Kluyveromyces lactis: one gene and its partner. The protein of the gene in region 2 purifies or fractionates together with the protein of the main gene of each other region. This does not show direct contact. Links are inferred from orthologs where the notes say so. Each region holds a gene or a part of one and is shown on either strand. Other genes may lie near its edges.

Region 1 (5,895 bases), on a different chromosome or scaffold from region 2:
ATGAATCCAACGCTTTGAATCTGAATTTGGAACACCTTGAAGCCAAGGGATCAATGATTCTAGTAACGTAATTACAGATCAAACAGAATCTAGTGACACCAGAATAGGTTTCCATGGTTCTACGCAGCGCACTTTGTGCGTCAGCAGTCATAGAATCGGCTTCATCAAGAATGATAATTTTGTATGGTGGACATGGATAATTCGCAAGGTCTGATTCTGATGGCTTAGACACAGTGAGCCTAGCAAAGTTCTTCACTTTCTCTCTGACGATCGAAATACCACGTTCATCGGACGCGTTTAATTCTAGAACTCTGCTGTTCGATAAATGGGGACCGTACAACTCTTTCGTCAAAGCAAGAATAGTAGAAGTCTTACCAGTACCAGGAGGACCATAAAACAACATATGTGGCAAATTTGCAGTCTGTAAAGTCCTTTTCAAGACGGTAACGGCATGATCCTGAGCAGCAACATCATCTAATTTCCTTGGTCTATACTTTTCAACCCATGGTTTTGCTTGACCTTTACCATCTGATGGGTTCAACTTCTGTTTCTTGAATATCGTTCCACTAGACATCGCGCCTCAACACCTTCTTGAGCTCTCAATGGCCCTTTACAAACCTTTATTTCTCATATTTTATAATCCAAAAGATCTTATCATTCAAAGTCGTTAAAGGTTCAGCTGGGAATTTTTCAATGTTGAAAGCTTATTAAATACAGAGTACACGATGAGATGATAAAGAGGTGTCCACTAGAGGACCAAGATATTGATCATAACCTCACGACCAATGACCGTGGAGATGACAGATGAGGAAAATATATGGGGCTCTGATAATGAGGCCAGTACCGGTCCTCAAGAGTCGCTAGAAGTGAAGAAACTTCAACAAATACATTCGAAAAGAGGGTATTTAGATGGTATTTCGTCAGCGAAGGAGGAAAACTTGCAAGCTGGGTTTGACGATACCTTCCCCTTGGGTGCTAAGTATGGGTTTCAAATAGGGGAAATTGTGGGTAAATTGAGGCTATTTACCACGCTTTATGGGAATGCAGACCCTCAAGTTGCTGCAGACTTAAAGCAAGCTCAAGACGAACTACGGATTAACAGGGTGTTGTCCGCTAGACACTTCGATGAAGAATTACAACCTTTAGATTCATTGAAGGTACTCCTATCCAAATGGCAAGCTCGGGTATTGGATTATGAAGGTAAGTATTCTTGATGAGTATGATTTTTATTTTGATAAATAATGACAGGTATACGCACCTTCTTACAAATACATAGTGTATAAGAAGATATAATGATTCAATAGTCTATAATGCTTTTAGCGATGTTCTTTTTGTTTAGGTATCACCAGAACGAACACCAGCCGATGTAATGTTGACATAGGTTTTCTACTGATGTAGCTTGCTGGATCAACTTGTCGACTTGATCAGGCACAGATAGTTCTTGATACCTTGGGAAATCGTTACCAGTAAGTTTATCAGCGATTCTTTTGAGAACAAGAGTGGCTCTTGCGTTGCGGACTTCTGCCTTTTGTTGTAGTTCCATCTTGGCCGCATCTTCAACGGTGATGACGCCCTTTCTTAGTAACTCACTTGGATTTGCAAGAGGTAGATCTATTCCCGTCTGTTCCATCACGGCTTGAGTCGGTAGATCGAAACCCCAGTTGATTAATGGATCGTATGCAAAGGCTTCCAAAATAGCCATCAAGGACTCCTTATTATCCCTTAGGACCATCATTACGTTCTCACAGGTGATACGGAAACTACCTTCAATACCACTGACTTCCATTGCGTACGTTAACATTCTTGTTAATCTGAATGGTACCTTTTCTGGGTATTTCTCTCTGAGAATTGCAGCTTCGAAACAGTCACCGAAATCAATGTGGACAACTTTACCAGTAACACGGTCCAACATCAAATTACTTGGATGACGATCACCTAAACCTAAAATATATCCTACCATTGACATGACGGCTAACGATCTTGTGTAAGTTGTACGACGTTCGAGCCATGATTCTGATGAACGACTCTTTAACCATAGAACCTTATACAAGTCCTGGCCCTTGGTGTTATCAAGAGCATAAGTGAAAACTTCCACTTTTTGCAATAGAGTTAGGTTATCATAATCAGGAGCCATTTGGAGCATTATTCTGTGTTCTATATTTAGTGGAACTTTGCTTGCTTCACGATGTTCTCTGATCAAGACATGGAATGTATCACTATTTGGAACCCATCCCAAAAGACCGGATTTAGGTGATAATGGGATAGCAGGGTATTGTTGAATGTTCAAATGCCTTTGGAAACTCTCGGGGTTATTCTGTAATAAAGTATTAACCAAACCAAACAATTGCATGACCAAATTATCTTGTCTGATATCTTCATGGCCCTTGACAATATATTGATAGTCTTTACCATCGCTACCCTTGATAGATAGCCTACGAGGACGCTGTTTGGATGAAATAACAGTAAATATTGGCTCGAAATGGGTAATTCTAATGACAGGTTTTCCGGCATGATATGTACCTGGAACAGCAAGTTCTAAATCTTTCGCAGCAGCTAGTTTTGGTGAAACATGTTGGAGATCCAACGTCTGTAATTGAGGGAGTTTCCTGCTAATACGACGGAAGACATTATAATAGATATCCCAAGCTTGGTTAAGGTTGTTGATATCTTTTGTTCTCTTGTAGTTCATTACCCACTCGTGGGCATCGTTCAAATCCCTACCAAACGAATTTTGGAACGAAATCTCACGCAAGGTTTCAGGACCACGTTTTAGCATCTCATGCAATGGCTCCAAAGTGGCAAACATCTTTTCCGTGTTATGTTCACCAAAGAATTGTCTACTAGCATCTTCAAGACCTTCGTACCAAAGTTCGTGCCACAAAACAGCGACTCTGATCAATTCGTCACTTACTAATTCTGCTTGATCGACAAGTTTAGGACTGTGCATTCTCATCTTATCTATGATGGACAAAGCTGCCCTCTGTCTTGAGACCGAATCAGATTTAATGGCAACTGTCAATGGATACACTAATGCCTGTGGATGGGCTTTACCCAAATCAGCTAGCAAAGATAGTAAAGATCTACTAACGGTTTGATTTGGTTGATGAATTCGGGAGATCAATTGTGGGATAACTTCTAACCAGTTATCGATCTTGATCAATCCAAAGCCTTCATGCATAGCTTGTGCAGCTTCTGGAATACCACCGAATTTGAACCACAAAGTGAGTAATCTTAACGTATCCTGTAAAGAACTCGATTGGGAAAGAGCAATAGAACGGAAAAAACCTTTGATGGCTGGCACGACATGACGTTGGACCAGTTCTGGAGGGAAATTTTCATTCGCGCCAAGCCCTGCCACGGCACCATTGGTAAACTCCGTAGAGGCGTCTTCAAGTGTTAGAACTTTGTCATCTTTGATTCGCTGGGTAAGCGACGAAGTGACCTCGAAGTTTGCCAATGCCCAATTATGCCAAGCTTTATACCACGACTTATCAAAGTGAGTAGCTAGTAAATAGGAACCTAGGATAGCATCAGGATTTTCCAGGCGCCAATTTGGCTGTAGTGAGACTCTCCATTCACCTTGCTTTAAGAAACAACGAGCAAGTAACTTCGTATAGTCTTCAATGTGATGCTGAGATACGCTGCTATTCTGTGGGACACTTTGAGCTATCATGTTACTGGGATCGAGGCCTAGATCGTGTGCCATACGAGAAGTAAAGCTTATTAAATGGTTGAGTGCTTCCTTTTGAGAACCTGTAGCCCACATGTATTTCAATTGGGCGTAGACAACTGGTGGAGGTGCACGAGCAGTATTTGGATTCTTTGGATCACTACTCTCTTCCAGAAGAGTGTTCAATGTCTTCTGAGCTAGACCTAACCGTCCGGACTTCCTACAAAGATTAGCAAATTTAATCCATACTTTCATATCTTGTTTAGGCTTTATAACTAGTGACCGTACCTTTAGAATTCTTTGCCAGACATCAACATTCTTTTGACAACCTAACAATCTTTTGTTCCATGTCTTCCGTATCATAGCCCGTCTATCGGAACCCTGTGGTAAATTTTTATACTGAATTATTTCTTCTAATTCCGCGACCATTTGAGTTCTTACCACAACACCATAAGCACGGTTGTAACTTTCGTTCACCAAGGCAGACATTTCAGTAACAAGAAGATCTCTGGCAGCAAAGATTTGTTCTTGTGCTTTATCGAAATTGTTGCGATGTAGACAAAGAACGGCAGCAAAGAAGGCCTTATCTGGAGATTGTGGTTTCATCACCTCAATGTACTGCTCGATTCGATCCCATTGAGCTAAACCCCACGCAGCACCCGCAGCCAGAGGAGCGATTGCTCTCTTAATGTCTATCTTTGACGAAGCCCACTTGTCTGCTGCAAGTTCAGACAATTGATCCCAGTCACCTAAGGCGTGTAATGATCTCATTTTACCAATTGTAACTTCTATCGAATCTTCACCAGCAGCCTCACGCTTATTATACGCAGTCAAAGCGTCATCCCATCTTTGTAACTTTTCGTACCAAGTTTCCTTCAATTGTAGATCGTGGTGTTGCTGCGCATGCTTCAAAATACCGATTGCTGCATCTGTTTGGTGTAATTGATTATTGATACTGATTAAGGACTCGATAGTTGAAGTTGTTGGCTCTTCAATGAACTCCAGTTCTTTATAATGTAAAGCTTTTGCATATGCATGACAACGCTGAGCGTATTCGCCAAGAGTTGATATAGAAATTGGTAGCGGTTTGTCGTCATGCTCCATGAATTCAACCAAATTTAATAATGTCTGGTGGATTTCAGGAGGATTGTTTGGTGAGGATAAAGCAGAGCACAAAGACTGAACCAAATCCTCTTGATATTGCGTGTAAAGTTCACCCCAACAACTTGCAAATGAGGCGTTGAATAATTCTCTAGCTAATGGATAGTAGATACCAGCCAATCCGGAGCAGGCACGTAAAGCATGAGAAGATGATTCTTTGAGTAAAGAAATTGATAGCCGTCTAATCCACTCTTGCCAGTCCTCCTTTGTTCTTTGTTGACTACAATCCCAGGCATTTTTTAGCACAAGTTGGTTGACAGGAAGCTTCTTGGAAGCTACCTTTACATCGTCCATTTCTTTATTAGGTAAATCGAAATCTTTATCAATAATAATTTTGGTCGGTAGTGGCTCATTATTCAAAAGTTTGGCAACCAAACGGTCGTATATTGTGTGCTGAATGTTCTGTTTGACTAAAGTTTTATTGATAACTGGAATGAATACAGTAAAATCAATATTGAGTTGTAAAAGAAGTAAACTTAATGTGTTCATTGTTGCTTTCACGTACTCGAGTTCTGATGTATTTAAGACTCTTACTAGGGCTTGCACAATCCTAGACGACATTTCTAGTGGATTGACATTTTTCGATAGACGTCCTATAGTAATGATTGCGGCCTTCTTCAAATTTCCTGAGCTAAACTCCGATAGTTTTATGATAGTTGGCAGTACGAGGTGAGCATATTCCTCTAGATGTGGTCCAAAAACTACCAATGACTTCAATATTCTAATTGAGACAACCTTCTTATTCGACTGGTCTTTTTCCAAAACATCCAAAAACAAAGATAGTATATTAGGTAAATAAGGATTGAATTCTCCTTCTAAGGCTCTTGATAGTGATTCGATAACCGAGATGATAGTTAATTGTAGCTTTACGATAGGGAAGAATTCTGAGATTACTTCCACAATTTCAGACACATGTAGTCTGATGTGTTGTTTCACAATTGAAATCAAAACACTGAGCTGTTGGAAGTAGAGCTCAAGAAGTGAAGGTGGACATGTGTGCATAACCAGTATAAATCCAGGAATGATCTGTTTCAAAAATATGACACAGCGAAGCCCCATTGTCT
Region 2 (7,343 bases):
AATGAGAGGAACCGTGATTCTTAAAGGTGCGTAACAAATCTCCAGATGTTGTCCATAATTTGATTTCTTTCGTCCCAGTTGCTATAATTGAAGCGTGTTCGTGTACTTGCATACTTGTCATGGTACTGCCTAGCTTCTTCCCTGGTTCACCTTCATCAGTGAACGTGCAAACAGGTTTATCAGCTCTGATGTCCCATAGGGCAACAACCCCATTGTTTGTGCCGCTGACTAGTTCACGGTAACCACCTCTTTGAAGGTGGATATTGTTCACCCATGACCCAACAGGACTGTTATCACTTTTTGGCGTTTTCCAAAGCCTGATCATTGAATCTCTGGGATCCATACGTCTGTCATACACCCGAATAGAGCCATCGGAGTAACCTGCAACAAAAATGTTTCCAGAAAACTGGTCAGAAGTTAAAGATGTGATTAAAGAGCTTGATTTCGCCGGTATATCCACTTCCACAGACTCCGTAAGCGCATCCCAGATACGAATTATTTTCACATCACCAGTGACTAGTAATGAACCTCTGCTCTGTTGCCATTCAGTTAATAGGCCTGTAGACCTAGGAGTCAATAGCAAATCTGTTAATCCTCTCCAAGAAGAAATCATAAATAGATCTTCAGTGTCATGGAAATCTTTGTAGATATTTACAATACCGTCTGAAGAGCCTGCCAATAACAACGGTGTGTCGTCGTCATTTAAAAACTTCATGTCGGTGATTTTCGTACCGAATGGATTGCCATTAGAGAATCGAGATAATTTTTCTTGAGTAGACCAATCATATATGGTAATATTGTCTCTATCGTCACTTGCCGCAATATAATTGTCAAATTGAGTGAATAAGAGTATCTTTGGTTGCGTCTTGTTGTCAAAAGTCACTATCTTGTGTGACCAGTCACCATATAGTGCCAGTTCTTTCTGTGACTGAGTTTCTTGGATGATTGCCTCATTTCTGTTTCTTTTCCATTCACGAGCGGTAAATTCAATGCTACCAGGTTCATCTGCCTCCTGTTTTTTCATTTGTGGTTCTTGGAAGTATTCACTACAATAGTTGAGGAAACAGCTTTCCAACGGTAAAGTCAAGGGTGTATCTCTCTTCCTATACATTGCGGGGAAAGCCCTAGGACTTGTCCCATATTCGATCCCCATTAAAGAAAGACCTTGTGCCATTTTTCCATTCCCACTACTAGTGCTCTCATGATCGGAGTATGAATCTTGGTCATTAGCAAATCCAAGTGCCTTCAGAATTGAATTCATAGAGAATACACGCCTGTCACTGACAGTATCGTTTCGGTAATGGTCATGTTTACCATTACTCAAACTTGCTGGTCTTCTTATTGCTGGTAATTTATTTGGGGAGGTGAAACCTTTGACGTTAACAACGCTTCTCTTCAAAATGTATTGTTCCATTTCTTTCACCATTTCAGCCAACTTACTGTGTTCATTTAGCTTAATGAGGATGTAATCTACTACATCTCCTGCAAGTTCTCTATTTTCGACAAATGGGTCTTCAGAAGAAATTAATAACGCTTTCCACACGGTATTGAATATGGAACCATGACCAACTGAAGTAGGATTTCTTGAGTCGTCTTCATGGCCATTCGTTTCTAGCGCAACTATTTCTGTGCTGATTTCAGTGAAAGCAATTACAGTGAAAAATTCGATATACCTTTCTACAACTTGAGATAAAAAGATGATCAATTCCTTCCGTACCATTGGACTACCATCGTTGACTAGCGAAAGGGTTGTGATAATGGTCTTAATCTCAAATTGTTTGAGGTTGCGTAAATTAATACTTTGCAATTGACTCATTGATGTTTGGACTTGTTGGGATTGTTGCTGAATTTGATAGTATTGTTGCTGTATGTGATGCGTACTATTCTGTTGATTTCCCTGTTGCTGCTGCTGCTGCTGGTTTTGTTGAGATTGCAAAAGCTGCAGCTGCGCTTGGAATTGTTGTAATTGTTGCTGAAATTCTTGTTGGAGTTTCAAGATAATGTTAACATCGTCTTCTTCAGAAAGGAAGTACTTGATTGCTAATAACGCAGCACATCTGATCTCTGGAATTGGATCTTTTAAAGACTCTATGATTGTATTCATATTTTCATTTTCGAGGCATAATGTCTTATGCAATGGATTGTGAATGTATAACTGACCAAGTAAAATGATACACCACTGTCTTAATAACGGAACTTCAGAATTTTCGATAAAGAAGCATAACTTGTTTACTAATTCAGTGCTGAAACAGTGTTTTTGACCAAGGGGGAAATCGCGAACAAAGCACGATAGGACAAATGCTGCCATTGCCTTTTGTTCATCTGTAGTATTATTGTTAGATAATAACGTCGCGTTATTATATGCTTGCTGCTGCTGCTGCTGTTGATACATCTGGTACCTCTGTGTTGAAGAACTTGCAGGTACATTCATAGTCAAGGGACTTCCAGCACTACTGACACTATGTCCTCTTGGGACACCAAACTCAGGTACAAGCATCTTTACAAAGTATTGGTATCCACGCTCCTTTATAAGTTCTGTTTGGGTATTTTTATAGTCAATAGAAAAAATTCTAGCCCAAATGAACACTAGAATTGGTTTCAACTCATGGGCAGGACTTTGTAGCAGTTTGGAAACATAAGGGAATATCCCAATTGAAAGTGATAGGTATACAGCCCATGGTCCAAGATCAAGAAATCTAGATAGCAGTACCAAAGTCCTAACACGATGGACTTGTGATAAGAGAACCTGTAGTACTATGGGGAGCTGCTCAGGTGGATGTCTTGAATTAGCCCCATATTTCACCCATAAATCAAATGCGGTTAAATTTTGCTCAAAAAATTTCGTAAATTGTTGCTGTTGTTGTTGAGAGGTAGTCGGGTGCGAGGCTGAATTACCGCTGGAGGTATGTGCTGTTGAACTAAAGTTTACCAATGACATGGAGCTCAGGTTTCCAATAGTATTTTTCGATTGCAGCCCGTCATTGGTTTCATTGCCTTCGTTTGGTTGGCTTATAAACTGTGATTCAGGGAAGTTTGAATTCTTTGCATTAGCATGAGCACTTTCCAGAAGTTTGGTCAATACTTCGTCGATTGCTAGATCCCACGATCTCCACATTGGATGATCAGCAATTGAGTCTGGTAACTCTGGGTCTGATACTGGATGACAATTGTACCAAGGCATTATTCTTTTGGCGAGTAAAAAGTTACGAAATAATGCCGCGACCATGAGGTCATGTCTGAATAGCTTCTTAAATAGTGCTCTTGGTAATGATGTCCATGCAATGGTATCTGTAATAGCAGTAAATATCCAATTCAATTCACCAAGGGGAGTCCTACGCTCAGACAATTTCCCCGGTATCGTAATGTTAGGCATTTCATTCACACCCGTCTCTTTTCTTCTAGGATCGTTATCTTGGAAGAACACGGAATATTTGGTGTCTTTCAAAGGAGATTGCATTAGAAACACCTTAACAGATATTTCTATTGGATTCGTTAGACAACAGGTGAAAAAATCTGCGGGTAATTCAGGGTTCATGGGCAATAATTCGTTGTTTGCACATGACGCTAATTGCACACATTCAGTGTATGCTTCTGTAGGTGAAGGTGATGCCATATCATGATTGCCTTCTCTATCGTCTCTCAATCTCTTTTGAACAAACTTTTTAAAGTTGGATACAATGTTACCAGCACTATTGCAATCCCAGACATATATACAAGGGGCTCCTAGCCAAGTTTGTAAATCATATAATGAAACCGGGATATACTGAGTATATCCACGGTTGAAAACCCAGATTTCTCCAGATGGTGTTGGTTGTGGTACACCATGACCGTTATAATGGAACAGAATTCTTTCGTCTTTCGAAGCCCTTCTCAATGAATTACAGAAGCGTTTCACATCTTCCACACAGGGATCTAAGCTCTGTTTATAACGAGTACGTAGTGATAGCGTCTCGTATTGACTCTGTAAGTTCTTTCCTATTTGTTCAATAGCTTTCTTAGAATCCTGAAATGCAAGGGGATCAACCCATGATTCAAGTCTTGCACATGGCTGAGTCTTAGTCACATCAGGAGGATCCACTCCCAAATTCAAACATAGTAATAATGCTGCTGCAACTGTCTTCTGCCTGTCCTTAACTATTTTCCAATCAGGAATTGGCTGGTAATATCCATCCTTATCCTCTTGCTTCACTTCCTCAGGAACTGGATTCCCATTGGTTCGATGCCTCTTATCATCGTAATAAAATATAAAATTGCTAGCATGCGCCTCCAAGAGTTTCTCACTTGAATACTGCTCTTCAAACCCATGTCTAGTCTCAGTATTAAGCCGTGTCAAAGGCTGTGGGCCGTAAACAACCATTGCTTCAGGATTGGTTCTATTCACAACTGGTTCTGATAAAAGTGGCAGTACCGGTCGATTCTGACAAAATTTAAACGCAGAAAATCGTACAAATAGTAATTACCTAACTGCTAGTCAATGAAGACTCGCTAAATTGACTTCAAACCCACTAAATGCTCTTCAAAAACCTTATCTTTCCAATCATTCCACACTTACTGACCAGTATCTGTATATGAGCTTACAGTATTTTTACGCAAACACTTTGAGTATATTGTTACCCGAATATTTTATATCAGGGTAACGTTGGGAAGATATCCAATAAAGTTATATCAACCACTTCAATACCCCCTCGATTGTAACCCAGATATTTAATAACCACAGTTTATCTAACTTTTACTGGTTTGCGCTTTCAAGTGCACTAAATGGGACCGTTATTGGATACTTTTATGTGTTTTTATTTTGATCTACGTTATAAATATGCAATTTCACATACCAAATGCTTGGTGAAATATTCACTTTGACAGGCGATGAGATGAGATAAGATCAAGGTTCATGCGGGGAACTAGTACTTATGAGTAGCCTGTTTTCATCTATTTCGACTGTTACAGCATTCTTTCAGGGTATCTGATCTATCACGAATATACTGCGTGCTCTTTATTCTCTGAGATGGCTTCTACTAATAATAATCCCAAAGTTCTATTGAAGAGGACGTTCTCACTGAAGGAACAATCTTCGCTAATACTATGTACCGATACGATGGCACAAAGCAGCCGATTTGTGGTTGAGGAATTCCTAGATAACATACCAGACGAAATGCCGATCGTTTTCGTATCATTTGAGACTCCAAATAGACCGAAATATGCACGCCAATTCATAGATGCGTCGGGGAAAACCACCCAGCAACTAGTTGCAGCATTACAACCATACCTACCGCAGCCACAGGAACAAGCTCCTAAGATGCATTTAGTGATCTTTGATACATTCAATTATATCGGTTCTGAAAGCTTGACACAATTCATATCTACCATTGCATCGCCATTTGTGACAATATTGGCTACATATCATCAGTCGATACCAGCCTGGCGTCCAGCAGAACTCCAGAACTATCCAACTGCGATCCAACTCTTGCAATTTATTGCTAATACGGTTATAGAAGTTACTCCGAAGACTTCCATAGACGAGGACGATTTGGATGCAGATTTAAGTAGATTTGTGATACCCAAGAACTTGAACAATCCCACATATTATATCACTCTAACGAACAAGCGAAAGTCCGGTAGGGCTATCAAGAATAAGTTCTTAATCAATTCGAAAACACATGATTATGAATATGTGATAGAGAAACAAGAACCAGTAACGGACGAAAGTCCAGAAATGTTTGAGGGTTTAACAACATTCAACTTGAACACTTCGGAGAAACAGAAGCTGGCAAAAGACCAAGTGGAATTGCCATATCTTGAAGCTCAATCTTTCAACAGTGGTGGTGCAATTGTGTATGAGTTTGAAAAGGATGATGATTATGACGAAGAAGACCCGTACGAAGATCCGTTCTGATCGCTAGAGTCTCGGGTTATTCTAGTTTCATTTAATTCTTTCTCGTGGTTGAGATTATCACAATTACATAGGAATTGTCTGTCTACTCTATATGTTCTATGTACTCATATAAGTGTACGCTTTGACAATCTGAAATGCTATTCATATTTAGCGCTTTTGATAATCTTGTTTTTATTTCCCTGTAGCATGTTTACAATCTTTGCTTTGACGCGCAACAGCTTTGCTCTAGGACCTGTCGATGCAAGTATCTTATCAGCTTCTTCCAGGGTTATCAGTTGCTTAGAAATTAGGTTGAATAGAGTACCAAAAGCTAGACCCATGACAGTAGATGTCAGAATGATGACATTGTAAGGCATACTGAAATCAGGAGTGGATAGAGATAAGAGTAAGGAGGATGTTCTGGCTTCATAACGTTCTGGTGTAAGTACTGCAGCAACAGCAGCTTCGATCTCAAAACCATGGTTGGCATCAGGGGGATATTCTGCATATTTAAGCAAGGATTTATCGAACTGGAATGATATAGCGAATGCAGTGTTAGGCGGGATAATCATTGCCCTTTCCAAATGTGTCGGTCTCTCACGATCTCTTGCCGGGGAATAGAAGGTAGATTTTACTACTGAATCTAGAGTTAGTTCAGGATCATCACTCTCTATGGCTAAGGAGGACAAGTATACTCCCATGAACCAAGGCAAGGATTCAAAATAAACTAATTCCACAGCTTCGTTGGAAGGATTACGAAATACTGATCTTAACCCGCCACGGTCTTGGCCATAACCAGTGAGAGCTCTGGAAACGTATATTGGAGTCTTTTTGGAGGGTAGTACACTCTTAGAGTCTGTCGTTTCCAAGCGAACATCATGTGGTTTGTTATTGTTGAGATCGAAACAGTTGTCGTCGGTTGCAAAATATGATTCGTCGACCTGTATCATAACGTCCCAATGTGAGGGAACGTGAACACATATTTTTGAGCTTTGTTCGCCAAGCAAGCTGCCTCCACGGATTTTCTTACCAAATAGTTTTGAGATGCTGAAACTAACTTCTTTGCTTTGAGGTAACGGGAAACATTGGAACGCGTCGTGTGGTCTATTCGTGTCACAACGAAGTTCGTCGCCTGGTAAAGGCTTCGGAATTGGTCTGTCAGCTCTGGCCAAAGCATTTGGTACGTTGACCACTGTTTCGATAAATTCTTCCATAACAAAGTGGCAATTGGCAGTTGATTCGTCACAAACAGTATTGACATCAATCGACAGACTGTGCCAATTTGAATCAAAGATCTTGTGGCCATCTAACAAAGAGGAGATACCAGATTTCCCTCTTGTTGGTAAAAGTTTTACAAATGGGGTCAAATTTTCAGTACAAACCGGTTCGTTGGCTAAAGTTGCTCTCATGAGGTAAAGATGGTTGCTTTGATTCAGTAGTGGGATCGCTTCGTCTTCTTTCGGTAAGAATGATG

The links.
Region 1: the proteins of KOG1 (region 2) and TOR1 purify together in Schizosaccharomyces pombe (affinity purification with western blotting; 5 studies listed by BioGRID, with this or other methods). This does not show direct contact. The link is inferred for Kluyveromyces lactis from reciprocal best matches to the Schizosaccharomyces pombe genes mip1 and tor2.

The regions. Positions count from the first base shown.
Region 1 is NC_006038.1:1,225,076-1,230,970, reverse strand, and holds the end of TOR1 (phosphatidylinositol kinase-related protein kinase TOR1), read right to left. Parts: coding exon 1,343-5,895; downstream 1-1,342. Other genes in the region: RFC2 (replication factor C subunit 2), read right to left, coding at 1-574; YAE1 (Yae1p), read left to right, coding at 786-1,214.
Region 2 is NC_006037.1:827,428-834,770, forward strand, and holds the start of KOG1 (ubiquitin-binding TORC1 subunit KOG1), read right to left. Parts: upstream 4,358-7,343; coding exon 1-4,357. Other genes in the region: Elongator subunit IKI1, read left to right, coding at 5,003-5,890; GPI-anchor transamidase subunit GPI16, read right to left, coding at 6,028-7,343. UniProt on the Schizosaccharomyces pombe protein: Component of TORC1, which regulates multiple cellular processes to control cell growth in response to environmental signals. Tor2 is essential for growth. Nutrient limitation and environmental stress signals cause inactivation of TORC1.